Linked DNA regions of Caenorhabditis elegans. The protein of the gene in region 2 purifies or fractionates together with the protein of the main gene of each other region. This does not show direct contact. Each region holds a gene or a part of one and is shown on either strand. Other genes may lie near its edges. The genes, in order: F42F12.4, B0228.7, C29F5.1 and dph-5.

Region 1 (3,353 bases), on a different chromosome or scaffold from region 2:
TGTCCCCGAACATCAATATATAAATTTTCAGTTGGTACAAGGAGAAGTTCCCGAAATACCCACCAACGCGTCGTGCCCTAATTCCGTACATCTATTAATTTACAATTATTTGTTTTGTTGTAATTTTTATAGTTTTACTCACCTCACATTCCGTTGATCGGCATCGGCATCTAATTTCTAATGCTTCAAGTTTACCGTGTGATGAAAAGTTTCTAAAATTGCAAATAATTTTCAAATAACTTTTTTTAAATGACATAAGTTTTTAACAGTATCTAAAACTGAAAGTTGAATAGGAACATCTCTGCTGAAAACAACAAACAAGACATTTACAGATGAGACACAAAACACAGATTTTCAAATGAAGATATTGAATAAGTATATAATTTTTAAGCGACATTGACCAGCTCCATATCAGGGCACAAAAAACCTTTTTTCAATATGGTAACGCGAATCACAACATTAACAGTAGTTTTTGCTTTTCAACTTTACTATTTCGTTGACACAAATGGACTGTTTATTGCATCAAATACAGAAATATGCAAACCACGGAAATTGACTAGACGTTGTAATTAAGCAGAAATATCGTTCAAATATTGCTGGCGAACTCGTTGCTCATCTCCATCAGCTTTGCGGTTGAATGCAGTCCACTTGGGATTATTTCGGAAAAGTCTCAGAGCAACGACGTCTTCCTGAAAATTAATATTTCTTCACTATAGTTCCAATAAAATTAGTATACAAAAACTCACCGAAGGATCGGTAGTGAAGCGATGGTAGATTCCTGCGGGAAGAAAAACAAAGTCTCCTCGACGAACTGGGATGCGGATCCAAGCTTCCTGTTTTTCTTTTTTTTTTTTTGTTTTTCTTTGAAAAAGGAAGTTTTTTTTTAACGATTTGAACATTTGGAATGTTTCTAATAACTTCCGTAATTTTTCAGATATCATCATGAAAATTGGAGATCATAAATTTTTCAACATTTGCCATCGAACTGCATTAACACTTTTTCAAAAACTTTTTTTTTCAATAAAACTCACGTCTTTTGTTCTGACGTCAAAGAACCCAACGCCATGCTTAATTACACGAAGTTCCGCATCATCGTGAAGATGTTCTTCAAAGAAGATGTCAAGCTGAAAATGCAAATGTTTATTTCTGTTATTGACTTTCAAATTGTTTACTTTTTCATCGAAATTCGGCATGGTGGCACGACAAATATGAACTTCGTCGTGAAAATTCATGTCATATTTCTTGATAAGACGATCCAAGTCCTCTTGAACATGTTCGTCATCAAAGTTGACCTGAAAGGAAAATCATTGTTTGAGAAATGCCTCAAATATTACTTTTGTGCATTCGACTCCAATTCGCAAAAGATCTTCTTCGGTAGCTTCTTTGTTCGGCGAAAATCTGCATTCATCTTGGCGATTTTCCTTGGTAACATCAGTCATGAAATACGCCATCTCTGGAAATATTAAAATCAGTAGAGAATTGGCTAAAAAAAAAGAGAAAAAAACGAAGAACAAAGAACGGAGGTGCATTTCATAAATGTAATAAAATCGATAACAGTGCGATGGACAGCAAAGACTGTTTCGATGAACACACCGATAACGGAGACCACTTTTTATAGACATTGTGAACTAGTTAGATACCATTCGGTCATTTGAAAAATACCTGTTTGGTTTGAATTGAATTATGAAGTGACTTTATCACAAATACATTTGATTTAATATAATCGCAGCGATCGGAATTGGATTTTACAAACACTAGTTTGTTTAAAATATTAAAAAACTACAGAATTGCTGACGTTTTCACAATTATTGCTGGGTTGGCAAAAAGTCAGTTCAGGACTATCAGATACTGCACCACTATTATGAAGAAGCTGCTCAACAAATTTTACACATATTTGTGATCGCATTTTAAATGTGGGTGCTATTACCGTTTTTAAAGTTTCCGTAAAAGAGTTTTCATAGAGTCCTTTCGTTTTATATCAACACATTTTGTTTTGCAAACAATTTTTATTGAATGAATGTGTAAACGACTGAGAAACACATACAAATTTAAAGATTATTGTAGAGTTTGTTGCAACCGCTTATCTTGTTTTTTAGCTGGTGTGGTTTTCAAGCAGCATCTGAAGTCTTTATCAGTTGTGCAGGAACCATCATAGACAGCAGCACAGTTATGAACACAGAAATTGTAGCAAGTTTTGTTGGTTTGAGTGGCAAAACTGATCCATGGAGAGCAGAATGCGTAAGATTCATCACCATTGACACCAGCACAGAACTTTGTTTTCAGAATTTAAAAACAGCATTGCAAAAACTTTCATAACCACCGAGTTTAAGCAGAAAAAGTACGTTTTCAGGCCTAATTTTGGAGCACATTTTAAAATAGAATGGAATGGGAAATTAGTAGATTTACCAAGCTTTGAAAATTAATATCTGGCTTCAAACTATCTTTTTGGAAAATCCCTGTAGCCATTTTATTGCAAATTTCGTGTTCTTTCTGAATTTAAAAACAGCATTGCAAAAACTTTCATAACCACCGAGTTTAAGCAGAAAAAAAACGTTTTCAGGCCTTATTTTGGAGCACATTTTAAAATAGAATGGAATGGGAAATTAGTAGATTTACCAAGCTTTGAAAATTAATATCTGGCTTCAAACTAACTTTTTGGAAAATCCCTGTAGCCATTTTATTGCAAATTTCGTGTTCTTTCTGAATTTAAAAACAGCATTGCAAAAACTTTCATAACCACCGAGTTTAAGCAGAAAAAAAACGTTTTCAGGCCTTATTTTGGAGCACATTTTAAAATAGAATGGAATAGGAAATTAGTAGATTTACCAAACTTTGAAAATTAATATCTGGCTACAAACTAATTTTTTTGAAAATCCCTTTTTGAAAATCCCTGTAGCCATTTTATTGCAAATTTCGTGTTCTTTCTGAATTTAAAAACAGCATTGCAAAAACTTTCATAACCACCGAGTTTAAGCAGAAAAAGTACGTTTTCAGGCCTAATATTGGAGCACATTTTAAAATATAATGGTATAGGAAATTAGTAGATTTACCAAACTTTGAAAATTAATATCTGGCTACAAACTAATTTTTTTGAAAATCCCTTTTTGAAAATCCCTGTAGCCATTTTATTGCAAATTTCGTGTTCTTTCTGAATTTAAAAACAGCATTGCAAAATCTTTCATAACCACCGAGTTTAAGCAGAAAAAGTACGTTTTCAGGCCTAATATTGGAGCACATTTTGAAATATAATGGTATAGGAAATTAGTAGATTTACCAAACTTTGAAAATTAATATCTGGCTACAAACTAATTTTTTTGAAAATCCCTTTTTGAAAATCCCTGTAGCCATTTTAT
Region 2 (3,642 bases):
AATCAATGAAAGATTTGTTGGATCAGTCAAGGATTTGATTCGTGACGTACTGACTCCAAAGGAATATGATATTTTCCGTAAACACTATCACCCGCATATCTTCAAATTGGACAATATTGGCAATAATACAGAAGCAGTCCGAACTACAACTCACGAAACATTTTGAAAGTTTACCTCTTGATTTCTTTTGAATGTTTTGTCTCACACAATAAAGAAAATTCTACCGTAGTAAAAGAAAGATTTTGCTTCAGTTTAAAACAAAAACCATAGGTTCCACCGAGATTTGAACTCGGGTCGCAGGATTCAAAGTCCTGAGTGCTAACCGCTACACCATGGAACCGATGGTTGCATCGTGTCCGAGGGCATAAACGTTTGCGGTGCACTTTTGAATGAAACAACTGTTGATACAGCGAGCGTTTCCGTCTGTTCGGGAATCTAATCGTTCTTTGAATGATCAGAATTTCATACACTTCTTGATAAGATTCGAGAAACTTCGAAACGTTAACTTTGCAATAATATCTTTATTTTAATGATTGTAAAATAAATTTTAAAACTTTTTCTGATTGTCAGTGGTGAGGAATGGAATGACGACGTCCGGTGAAATCATGACAGATTCGCGAGCTTCGGTCTATAAATTCAATTTATTTTCATTTTTCAATCTTTTAACAGTTTACCTTGAGTTTAAGAATTTCTGCGCTCCAATCAATTTTTCCGATTTCTCCAACAGCTTCTACGAACAATGTCTTGGCCTTTTCAACATTTGCTGCAAACACTTTCATTACAGATGATGCAGTCACATGATCTTCTTCTTTCCAGCAATCGTAGTCAGTGACAAGAGCTGTGGTAGCGTATGGAATACCGAGTTCCTTGGCAAGAATACACTGAAAATATAGAGGTTATCAACAACTACGTCTCCAATTTTCAAATACCTCTGGCATCATTGTCATGTTAACTAAGCTTGCTCCCCATGACTTAAACACCATGCTCTCAGCTTTTGTTGAGAATCGTGGACCTTCAATGCACACTCCGAAACCGGTTCTATGATGGACAAGTTGACATCTTTCAGCAGTTGAAATTAGAACCTATAAATTAGGATATAATTCCGTTTTAATAAATTTTTAAAAATTACCTGTCTCAGTTTCTCATTGTACGTTGGATGAGCTTGAATATGACAGACTCCTGGAGCTTGATCGTAGCTTCCATCGAAGAATGTGCTTTGGCGCCCAGTTGTTCTAAATTTTGAAAAATTTTTTTTTTTTCGTGATTGCGATTTAATACCTATCGAACACTGAGTCTGGGAACAGTAAATGTCCTGGTTCGACGTTTTCCTGGAGAGATCCGCATGCTGTAGATGCGATTATGACATCGACACCTACAAAAAATTATTTTTTTCGAATAAATTTTTTAAAAGAAAATGTCACCTCTGGAATAGAGTGCCCACAAATTTGCGCGGAAGTTTACGTTTCCTGGCATTATATCATGTTTTCTACCATGTCGAGCCAACAAAACACATTCGACTCCATTTATGGTTCCTAAATGGAATATGTTAACATTTAAAAAATAACTAATTAATTTTTCACCTTCTACAACATCATCACTTGGTTTTCCATATGGTGTATCTACGGCAACTGTGACTGGATCCAGTAAAATATTTGGATCTTCCAAACCACTTCCTCCAATAATTCCAACCTTGACCATGTTTGAACAGCACTGAACAAAAATATAATTAGGCCTAAAATATTTTGAATCCGAAAAGACTGAGCCAAAAAGTGCAATAAACTGTTTTATCTAATCAAAGATAATACTGATAACACAACCAACTCACGACACATAGTGTACTCCATTCAGGAAAAAATCAATACAAAGCCATATGAGACGAGGTGCACAAGCTGTTTTCGTGGTATAGAGGAGAGGAAACTGGAACGGCGCCAAGGCACAGAGAAAGAGACGATGGGGAAGGCGCATTTACGGTGCTCTTTTTTCCTTTTTTTCAATCGAAAAGTGGAATAGAAGTGGAAAAATTGAATTCAAAATCAAATTAACAAGATATAATGTTTCAAAATTTTTTTTTTTTAATAGTCATGATATGGATTTTTTCGATATTTGTTTTAGATTTTAAAATATTTACAGTTTTCCTACAATTCTTCTTGTTTTCTGAAAAAGTTTAGAAAAAAACAACAAAAAAAACAAAAAAAAAATGTTTCCTGTTTCAATTTCAAGGGAGGTGCACATATGCCGAATGGTCTTGCCGCGCGCACTGCAGAAAACATTTTTGTGTATGCGCCTTTAAAATTACTGTAGTGAATAGTAGTGCAGGCCTAGATTAATTTTCGGTGTCCCTGGAAATCGCAGAAATCACATTAAAGAAAAAAAACAGTGAAATAAAAAATATAAATTGAATTTCGGGTTTTAAATAGTTTTATTTTTCAAAAAAAACAATCCCGATGTTAATTTCCCGATGAAGAGATATCAACTGTCTAGTAAATCAAAAGAAGAAACGTGATTTTTCTGAAGTTTTTTCTCATTATCAATACTTTCAAGGTCTTTGAGAAAACATTAAAAACACAATGTTCAGAGAAAAAGTGAGCAGACTGAGAAACTTTTCTTCGTCAACGAAAGGCAATGTATATAGAAAATCTGAACAATCTCCAAGGCCAACTAGGACAGCTATGGAAACCGATGTGCTCTATTTCAGCGTTAAATGCTCACTATATAACTGACATGAATAAAATATGCATTTGAAACGGTCAAACTAGAAGAAAATTACAAAGAGGTGCTACTTTTCGAGGTATAACACAACTTTACGAAGACACATACATAGAGTGCCCAAGAGATGACGAAAATAAATACGGCAAAAGTATTGAATTTCATTCCAAGTAATAAAAAATAAACAAATACATATTTTATTTTCGTTACTGTAATAGATCAAATAGTTAAACATTTTATTCATTACAGGTGAATCCCACATGATCCAACTGCCAGAAATCATCTTTCTGAAATAATATCCTATAGATTCTCAAACAATACATTTAACATACATAATATCCTTCAAAGAATACACGATGAGTTGATGTACTGTTATCACTTGCTGCAGACATTGTATTAACTATCCAAAAGCCTATTTTCGAATCCTGGTATGCGTACACATTTGTTTGCTTCGGAACAGATTTCGCATAGAAATTTGAAAAACCAGTCAACCAGTTATCAAATTTCGCTGAAAATATGAATATTGTTAGGTAAAGTTTCAATTATTTTATACCCCAATTCTCAAATTTCATTCCGCATGTATATCCATGAAATTTGCTTTTATCAAACATTTCTTTGAATGCTTGAAGTGTATCCCAGCTGAGTCCTTTATTGAGCATTTGATCCCATCGACGAGAAGCTAGAGCCATTTTAACAACTGATGCATCACTCTTGGACATTCTTTAAATATATTTATAATATTACAGAAATCGTCGGAAAATTGCTTCAAATTAAATCTTTAAAACCTTACTTTGTTCTGGATTCTGTGCAGTTCTGTTGAATTTGATAAATTCTCCAATCCAAGAAATTCTCAAAATACTCAACCTTTACATTCGTGTACTGAAAGTAAAATTGAATGAGAAAACAGTGATCATCAGGTTATACCTTATTCATTGA
Region 3 (4,986 bases), 1.5 Mb from region 2:
AAATGAGGAGTTTGGCAGTTAAGAACAGGACTGGAACATGATAAGTCTTACACACGATTTTTTAAAATTTGAATGCTTTCACAATTAGCAACATTTAGAGACAAGAATAAAGCAACATTTCAAAACTTCCAAACAAGCCTACCATCAAACCATCTTTTGAAAATCCGAAACCGAGCCACATATCAGGCTTCACCAGTTTACTTTCAATTTCAATAATCAAATGTCTTCTTTCATGTTTCCACGTCATCATTGTCTGACAGTCACTGGCATCTTTACATCCATTTGGTAGTTTCCAACAACCTCTTGCAGTTCCACAGTCACTGATATGAGTTACGTGGAAACTAGTGACGTGGCATATGAATAAAATGAAAAAAATGAATAGAATCATCATAAGTTTGAATCAACATTGATCATATCAGAGGGGCCATTTATAGGTGTGTTTTAAGCTGGAAAGTCTAGAAATAACAACGGACATTGTTCTTCTTTTCCAAGAAGTGATGATAAAACTGGTTTCTATTTAATGATTCTCGCTTCCAAAACACAATTATTTATTTGTTAGAACACATTATACAAAAAGGAAATTAAATTGGAAACGGTCATTCATCAATCACTTTTGCTCTTCTGGCTCATCATCTTTGCATTGTGTAGCCAAGAAATCACGGACTCCCTTACTGATTCCACCAGTTGCTTCTTCGTGTTTCGCGAAGATTTCCAGATGAGCTTTTCCTTTCCACACAAGTCCACATCGGAAATTGTCATCGTTCTTAGTCAAGAATTTGTAAACTTTGTCAAGACAGTCGTGAACTTTGCACAAAGAGACCAACGGAAGGGGCTTCATCATTTTAGAGACATCTTGCAAAGTGTAAATAGCTGGCTTTCCGAAATCTCCGTTTCCTTTGAACCAACCAAGAAGCTCCTGCAATTAGATAATTTTTTTGATGGGTGGAAAATGTAAAATTATTGATCTGATGAGTTTTATTTTTTGCGCAATTTCGTAGGCCCATAACTATTTTATATTGAGAAAATCTCTCTCAAAAAACGCTGTTCATTATGCGCTCAAAAAATAATAAAATGGTAAAAGTTGTGGCAGAAGTTGCAAAAAGCGTGGATAAACCTTTTTTGTCCAAGTTGGAAGCATCTGTTGGAAATATCGTACCAAAATCTATCTACATATACTTGGACAAGACATTGACAAGATGTTCATAATTCTGTCTAAGTTACAGTCGAGTATAAAAATCTTTTTTCAAAATATTTCATAAACTTACATGGTTAGCATTAGTGAAGAACAACTGAGCCCACGTGAAAAATGGGAATCCAGCTCCTTGTGGGTATGTTGTGAGTACTTGAAGTGGAACATCATGTGGTACTTCTCCATAATTCACTACTTCAATATCCGGGTTCATATCACTTTTCTTTTTCTCTGGCAGAACTTCAGATTTATCTACTGGGACTCTAAAATAATTTAATTTTTTGTTTACTATTACAAAAAAAAACATACGGAGTGGCTTTGACAGCTGCATAATCAGCACAGTCAACTTCATATCTAACAAGAATTCGGAATTGCCCATATTGATATGAAACAAGTTGGAAGAATGGACCCGTTGAATGAGCACCACGGGGGCGAGTCATTCGATGTTTCAGATTTTGATCAAAAGTTACATGTCCGATTTCCATTAAATCAGAAGCTTCCATTCTGAAATACAATTATTGGTTTGTTTTGAGTAAATAAGAATACCGAAAAGTTTAGAAGTTTTGCTTTGAGAAGGGCTGACAAGGCAGATGTTCACTTTTTGGTGCGAATTTTTCAAGAATTTATTTCAAGTTCTAAACTTTTCTGAATTTTGAAAAATCCAGTTACTAAGCATCACGAAAACTATAAAAACTTTTTAAAAACAAAAAAGTTTTTAATAAACAGATAAAACTAAATTTTCTCGTTTTCAGTTTGCATGCCTACCGTATATCCTCTATTAGTTTTGCACCCCTTTGCTCAACTTTGACAGCTCATATCTCATTTTGTTTTGAACATATAAATAATTAACAAACTACATACTATAGAAAACCACCTAACAAATATTTTATCAGTTGACAACTTTTCTATAGAACAAACGACTACTGAGATATGAGCTGCCAAAGTTGAGCCAAGGGGTGCAAAACTAATAGAGGATATACGGTACCTTATTTTTATTTATTACCTATACATAGGTATATATACTACCTATTTATTTTTACCTAGTGAGCAGAACAGTCTTTCCAACGCGTTCACAATCGATTCGGAACAATCCTTCTCCGGCTTCATTACAGAATGCAAAAATCTTTTGCAAATTGATAGCATCCGTGATAAAATGGAATTGAGAGAAATCGATTGGTTTCTTCTTTTTCTCACTGAGCAAACGTGCCGCAATAATGATGGCATCCAAAGATCCTTCCCGTACCTGTAATTATATTGATTTCCAAATCAGCACATTGCTTGTAAAAATGGATTGATTTTTGTTTTCCAAATAAAAAAATCTACACGCTTCTCGTGCTTCAACTCGTGTTTCAGTCAACAACTTATGAACTCACTTTCAAATGATTGACGTCATAAATAATCACTCCATGATCTTGCATCAACTTGCCACCTGGCCAATAGAATGATTCAACAGGTGCTCCTGGAACAAGAATAGTTGCTGTCTCATCATTGAGATACCATTGATACGATCCAATACGGTCTACATATTTTGTACTTGTTGGTCCTCCCTGTAAAATTGATTTTTATTAACGAAAACAGTAGATGATTCGCTCTCACGTTTACTGTAATCTCACATTTACTTTCATACATTTTTTCCACAAAATCTTCAGCAAATCATTTAATTTTTAATGGATCTTTATACAACAAAAAAATTTCCATATATTTTTAAAAAACTTCCATATATTTCTAATTATAATATTTTCATAAGACATTTAAAATTTTAAGCTAGGAAACTTAAAAATTCTAATTTTTGTAGCAAAAAATCTAGAAGACAACTTTTAAACTAATACAATAAAATATCAAGAAGTTTTACCATGTTGGTTGGTCATAAGTGAATGCTCGGCATCTTCTCAATTGTGAAATTCATTAATAAGTAAAGAAATACAATAGCTAGAAAAACATTCTCCAACCAAAAAAAAAGTCCTACATCGATATTTAATAACTACTCACCTTTCCAGATAAATTGTTTAATGGAAGAAGACCGTATGGTTCTTCTTCAAGACCTTCAAACAACCAGAATCCGTCGGCAGACATATCGAACAGCGGCTATACGGCGATCTGTCCAGCGACGTGTTGTGTTTTAAAGAGAGGCCATTCTTCAGCACAACGGATCCCTACGAAAGAGAGAGAGAGAGCACATGAGGGGGTGTTCGGGAACAAAAAATAGTCTATGAAGACAGAGACTCAGATAAGATTACAATGCGGGGGAGCAGGAGCTCCCGTCCAATCTCATCGACAAAGTTTCGAAACACCGATGATGATGACGGGATCCCAATATCTCGGAGAAAATAAAGACAATGAAAAGATTTCGTATAGATTTGGAGGACACACGCACACATCGATTGACCATCACCTGGAGTGGGAGCATTGGGCTACGTTTTTGTGATAACGAATAATTTAAAATGTTGAGAATAAGTATTTCAGCGTTCGCTTAATTTATAATTTTCTAAAGACAGAAATCTGTATCACGAGGCTGTAGAATGACAAATATTTTATTTGAAAGCTCATAATGATAAATTTTAGACAGAACGATTTCCCAACCAGTTAGATTTCAAACCTCAAAAAGATTAGCAAATAAAAATTCGAGCAACATTAAACAAAAACTTGGGAACTTTTTTATTCAAAACGCTTCCATACTGTTCACAAAGGATGAATAAATATAAATTTCTGTAGACTGTTAATTCCCTTCAAAATATGCTAAATAATGTTGATTGGATATTTAAAAAAGAGACTCTGAAGAATATCGATGTTTGTGATCAATTGGATATCGAGGAGTATCAATTTCCAGAAGATTGTGCCAACAAAGGATCAAATAGAAGCTTTAGGGTTAGAATTGGGCAAACGCTGTCATCCAGAAAATTGGCCACTTGTGGCGTCCCACAAGGCGCAGTTCTGTCACCACTTTTGTTTGGTATCTATGTTAATGATATATCATCAATATTACCCGAAAAAGTAGCATGTAAACAGTTTGCAGATGACACGAAATTGTATGTATCGACCCCTAAGACTGAAAGCGAAAACAATTTACAGTCTGCTCTAGATGCTGTAGTAGATTGGACAAGGGGATCAAAACTCACTCTAAACCAATCAAAGACAGTTCACGTCACTGTAGAAAAACGTAGAATAGATTTCAAATACCACCTAGACGGTTACCCTATTGAACGAAAAGCTATTACCAGAGACCTTGGATTTTTATTCTCTGAAAAGCTGGATTTCTCTGAGCATTGGAAGAAATGTATCAATCTAGCTAAATTTCAACTGGCCAACATGTTCAACCAGTACAGTACCTCCAATAAGAAACTAATGATTCTCTTATACAAAACTTTCATCCGCCCTCGTTTAGAATATGGAACAGTAGTGTCTTCTCCGACAAAAAAATCGGATGAGAAAGCAATAGAGTCTGTACAAAACGCATTTTCTAGGCGCCTTTATAGTAGAATCAAAAAAAGATATATTAATCCAACTGATAAAGATTACAAAACTGCCATGGAACGTAACGAACTATTCGACCTCCAAACCTTAAGCACGAGACGTAAAATAATTGACAGAATCCAAGTAATCAGAATGAATACTGGTAAAGTAGACTTAAAAACATCTGAGTTTTTTGAGCAACAAGAGACCCACACTCGTTCTAAAAAGAAATATATCTGGAGCACAGGAAAATCTAAACTTAGGAGACACTTTTTTGTCAACAGAACACTACCCACAATGAAGCAACACTGATCTAATGTTACCTTATCCTCACTTCTATTCATCAT
Region 4 (3,464 bases), 3.6 Mb from region 2:
ACGAGGAAGAGGGAAGACATGTGTGTGTGAGCAGGGCCTGGAGCAGCAACCTTCGAAACTCCACCCTCTCCAGGCCGGAAAAAAGAGCTGTGCAGGACGTTGCGCGAATCATGATTGAGGTACTCACGGAGCACAGGGAGAAAAAACTTGTTTTGACTATTTATGTTACTAGTCTCTTTTTCGTCGTGTCAGGTTTTGGTGTTCTCAATTACAGCTCCGCCTTCTCGTGGCTCACTAGTTTTTTCCGCTTTGCTTTGCTAACTCAATAGAATATTGTCGTCGATCTTCTGGAAAATTCCTATTAAAAATACTATCTAAATAGGAATGCAATTTTAATAGCAGGAAAATTTAAAAAGTGAGAAATGTGCAACGACTTCTTCCGGTAATCCCCAGTTGACGGATGACCTCTAGTTGTACTGCCATTTTTTTTTTTGCTTTCTTCCTCCATTCCCAGGGTCAAAAGTTTGAAGGCGAAACTGGATACGGATAAATTGGAAGAGGATTAAAAAATCGCGGTGTGTGGGAAAAAGTTTGAAATGAAGATTAATTTTTTTGAGACTAACAAAATGAAAAAAAAAAAAAACGAAAAACTAAACAAAAAAAGTTTGAAAAAATGTGGAAAAAGTAATTAGCAACAGACAACAGAACAAGAATAAGAACAAAAAAAGGAACAATTTTGGGGAATTATGGCCTGAAAGTTTCCAACATGTCGACTTCCAAAGGATGGGTTTCACCAGGAATAATCAGTGAATGTAGAGGTTCGCCCATCTCCATCTCACTCATATCTTTCATACTCGCGTATACGATCTTCTGATTGTCCCATCCAACTCTTGCCAAGCCGACAACCATCGTGTTCTCATCATAGGCACACTCTTCTCCCTTGGCTTTTCGTCTCTCATAAATGGTCAGCAGTTGTCGAGCCGCTTCGGAGCACTTTTGATACCTGGCTGGCTCGAAGATCTTCCGCCCACGCATCATATTTTCGACAGTTTGCTCTTTGGTTTTGATATCCAGCAGGCATAAAGTGTGCATTCCACGTTTACGATTCAACGCGATTTTATCGTAATAGCTCTCCGGCTGCCACTCGTCAGTCCACATTACAATTGAAACTGTTTCTCCGAAATTGTAGAGTTGTAGTCCACAACAGCCAACTGCATTCATGATGGAAGCATTGTGAATCACTTTGACCTGAAACGAAGGAAGTTTTAATTTATTTTTAAAAAAAACCTCTTAATATTTTGAACACACAAAAAATTCAAGTTATATGAAAGTTTAAAGGAAGTTTCTAGTTTTTTAGTTTATGTTTTGCACGTTCCGTGACTGGAATCAAATTTAGCTTCCTCAAATCACCGGAATATTCTGTTGCTTAGCACGCAACACCAGATCCGCATGTGTAGTTGCTCCGAACGGGTCTCCAACGACAAGTAGAGCTACGTCTTCCTTATCGGCTCCATTTAAAATCGCATCAGACTCCTGCTCGACGACTGTCCGATCGGCTTCAATGATCTCTCTTCCGTAGAACTTTTCGAGATTTGTTTTGTCCAATCCATAGCATAAAATGCTTGTGTAGGCTTCTAGATGAACGCGAGCACAGTTTCTGAATAAAAATATTTAATTTTGCATTAATTATATTTTATAAATACTTGACAATATTTAATCCTTTGACAGTGATGTCTTCAACGTCTCCAAGTCCCAAACCAATCAAATAAAATACCATCTGAAGTTTTTTTTTTTAAATTGCAGTTCATAACTAATTATCAGCTGATATCAATACAATTAATAAATAAAAGAAAATCAGTTATCGGATGAGATAATAACCGATAATATAAGGTTCCAGAAATGATGGAGCAATAAAAAATGCAATAAAATTTATTAATTTTAAAAATAAATACAAGTAATTACCCATATGAAAAAGGCGACTAAAGCTTTAAGTGAACATAAATATCATTTTACAGAATGAGATCAATCGGTTTTTGGCTTGACTATTGGTACATAATGATTGATAATTTGTTTGAGAATAAATGAATTTGCAATCAAAAACAGGCAGGAGGCCAGGAACATCAAAAAGAATGTATTCCATCCTTGGAATTCGAATAAATACGCAGCGAGAAGCCAGATTCCTTGTGTTGCGAACCACGCGGCCATTAGAGATAACGCTAGTTGTCGGGACATCTGGAAAAAGGTGGAATTTAGGAAAAAACTAGTTTTAAAAATAATAATTTACCATAATTTTATGAGCGAGTAAAGGTAGAAGAACAATGTACCAGACAAAGTACTGACTTGTGCACACTTTGTTATATGTAACAAATGCGAAGGTGGTGATAAACCAGCAGAAGGGAAGATCATCGTAATGCTTGAAGGCGAAGAACACGATCAGCACAATTTGTGGAATGAATGCTCCGAGGCCGATGATCTGTGACATTGTCGGATTCGCTTCATACAGGTACAATAGGTAGAAGTACGGCGAGAAGTTATGGGCGAGATCTCTTCTTTTGACGTGGTAGATCAGATATTCATCGAGGAATAGTTGTCCGTAGATTTGGAAGAAGAATAGTACCACCGCTGCGAATGATGTGAGAGTTACCTAAATCTTTTTAACATTGAGAATTCCATGTTTTTAAGAAAAATAACTTACCAGCATATATGCGAAGCCTTTCCAGTTAGAAACCAAACTTTTAAACTTGTTCACAACACAACTTTGTTCTCCAATTGTTGAAAGACTCAGAAAAACTGATGGGAGATAAATCAATGGATAAATCTTCAATTGGATCGCAAGGGCGCCGTGAACTAGAGCTGCAGATTTCCAGTATCCTTTTTGAAGTAGCACAATATTCAGAAGCACGACTGCAGCAACAATAGATTCTGCATTTCCTCTGGCTGAGATGATAGCGGTCAGTGGATTCGCAAGCCAGTAAATCACGACATTCATTGTTTGATCATCTTTCATTTCTTCTCGTGTTTCGCTTTTTGTTTCGTTTAAATCTTTCTCCATTATTTTAAAATACAGAATCGCCACCAGGATGTCGAAAATGCAGAAGAGAATCTTTCCAAAGTCCGGGAAATGCACAACAGGCAAAAGAATCCATGCTAGCGCAGGCGTATATCGGTAAGTGGCTCTGTCGAATGGGCTTCCACCGTTTGAGACATGTTTGGCAGCGTCGGAGAACACGTGATAGTCGATGTCTGTGAAATTCACCTGAAACACTGAGTTTAAACTTATTTTGATGATGTAAAATTATCAAACCTTGAATAGATAATCGTGAATGTGTGCGTAGAAAACGAGAATTATCCTTGCCACGAATGCCACTAGTAAAATCTGGAAGAACATCATTAATTCGATGAATTCGTTGAAAATAGACAAATTACCTTATTTCGATTGAACGTTTCGTTCTTCACAAAACTCCGGACACATTGCATTTGTGGAGAAAACTGGAATATATTCGAATATATAAATGCTAAAAACC

What was found.
Region 1: the proteins of B0228.7 (region 2) and F42F12.4 fractionate together in Caenorhabditis elegans (co-fractionation; one large-scale study listed by BioGRID). This does not show direct contact.
Region 3: the proteins of B0228.7 (region 2) and C29F5.1 fractionate together in Caenorhabditis elegans (co-fractionation; one large-scale study listed by BioGRID). This does not show direct contact.
Region 4: the proteins of B0228.7 (region 2) and dph-5 fractionate together in Caenorhabditis elegans (co-fractionation; one large-scale study listed by BioGRID). This does not show direct contact.

The regions. Positions count from the first base shown.
Region 1 is NC_003284.9:12,351,495-12,354,847, forward strand, and holds F42F12.4 (Acireductone dioxygenase), read right to left. Parts: upstream 1,454-3,353; 5' UTR 1,452-1,453; coding exon 1,335-1,451; intron 1,293-1,334; coding exon 1,173-1,292; intron 1,125-1,172; coding exon 1,032-1,124; intron 834-1,031; coding exon 747-833; intron 690-746; coding exon 570-689; 3' UTR 501-569; downstream 1-500. Other genes in the region: srdf-2.2 (3-oxo-5alpha-steroid 4-dehydrogenase (NADP(+))), read left to right, coding at 32-98.
Region 2 is NC_003280.10:7,756,681-7,760,322, forward strand, and holds B0228.7 (S-methyl-5'-thioadenosine phosphorylase), read right to left. Parts: upstream 1,711-3,642; 5' UTR 1,699-1,710; coding exon 1,581-1,698; intron 1,533-1,580; coding exon 1,422-1,532; intron 1,373-1,421; coding exon 1,279-1,372; intron 1,233-1,278; coding exon 1,130-1,232; intron 1,083-1,129; coding exon 930-1,082; intron 882-929; coding exon 675-881; intron 629-674; coding exon 548-628; 3' UTR 510-547; downstream 1-509. Other genes in the region: B0228.1 (uncharacterized protein), read left to right, coding at 1-166; B0228.8 (uncharacterized protein), read right to left, coding at 3,030-3,214, 3,260-3,426, 3,497-3,585, 3,631-3,642. UniProt on the Caenorhabditis elegans protein: Catalyzes the reversible phosphorylation of S-methyl-5'-thioadenosine (MTA) to adenine and 5-methylthioribose-1-phosphate. Involved in the breakdown of MTA, a major by-product of polyamine biosynthesis.
Region 3 is NC_003280.10:6,301,831-6,306,816, reverse strand, and holds C29F5.1 (START domain-containing protein), read right to left. Parts: upstream 3,293-4,986; 5' UTR 3,263-3,292; coding exon 3,179-3,262; intron 2,737-3,178; coding exon 2,563-2,736; intron 2,433-2,562; coding exon 2,230-2,432; intron 1,694-2,229; coding exon 1,499-1,693; intron 1,453-1,498; coding exon 1,266-1,452; intron 917-1,265; coding exon 608-916; 3' UTR 534-607; downstream 1-533. Other genes in the region: C29F5.8 (DOMON domain-containing protein), read right to left, coding at 143-388.
Region 4 is NC_003280.10:11,348,445-11,351,908, reverse strand, and holds dph-5 (diphthine methyl ester synthase), read right to left. Parts: upstream 1,718-3,464; coding exon 1,644-1,717; intron 1,598-1,643; coding exon 1,351-1,597; intron 1,189-1,350; coding exon 685-1,188; 3' UTR 536-684; downstream 1-535. Other genes in the region: pigm-1 (GPI alpha-1,4-mannosyltransferase I, catalytic subunit), read right to left, coding at 1,963-2,172, 2,225-2,584, 2,636-3,196, 3,245-3,316, 3,367-3,417.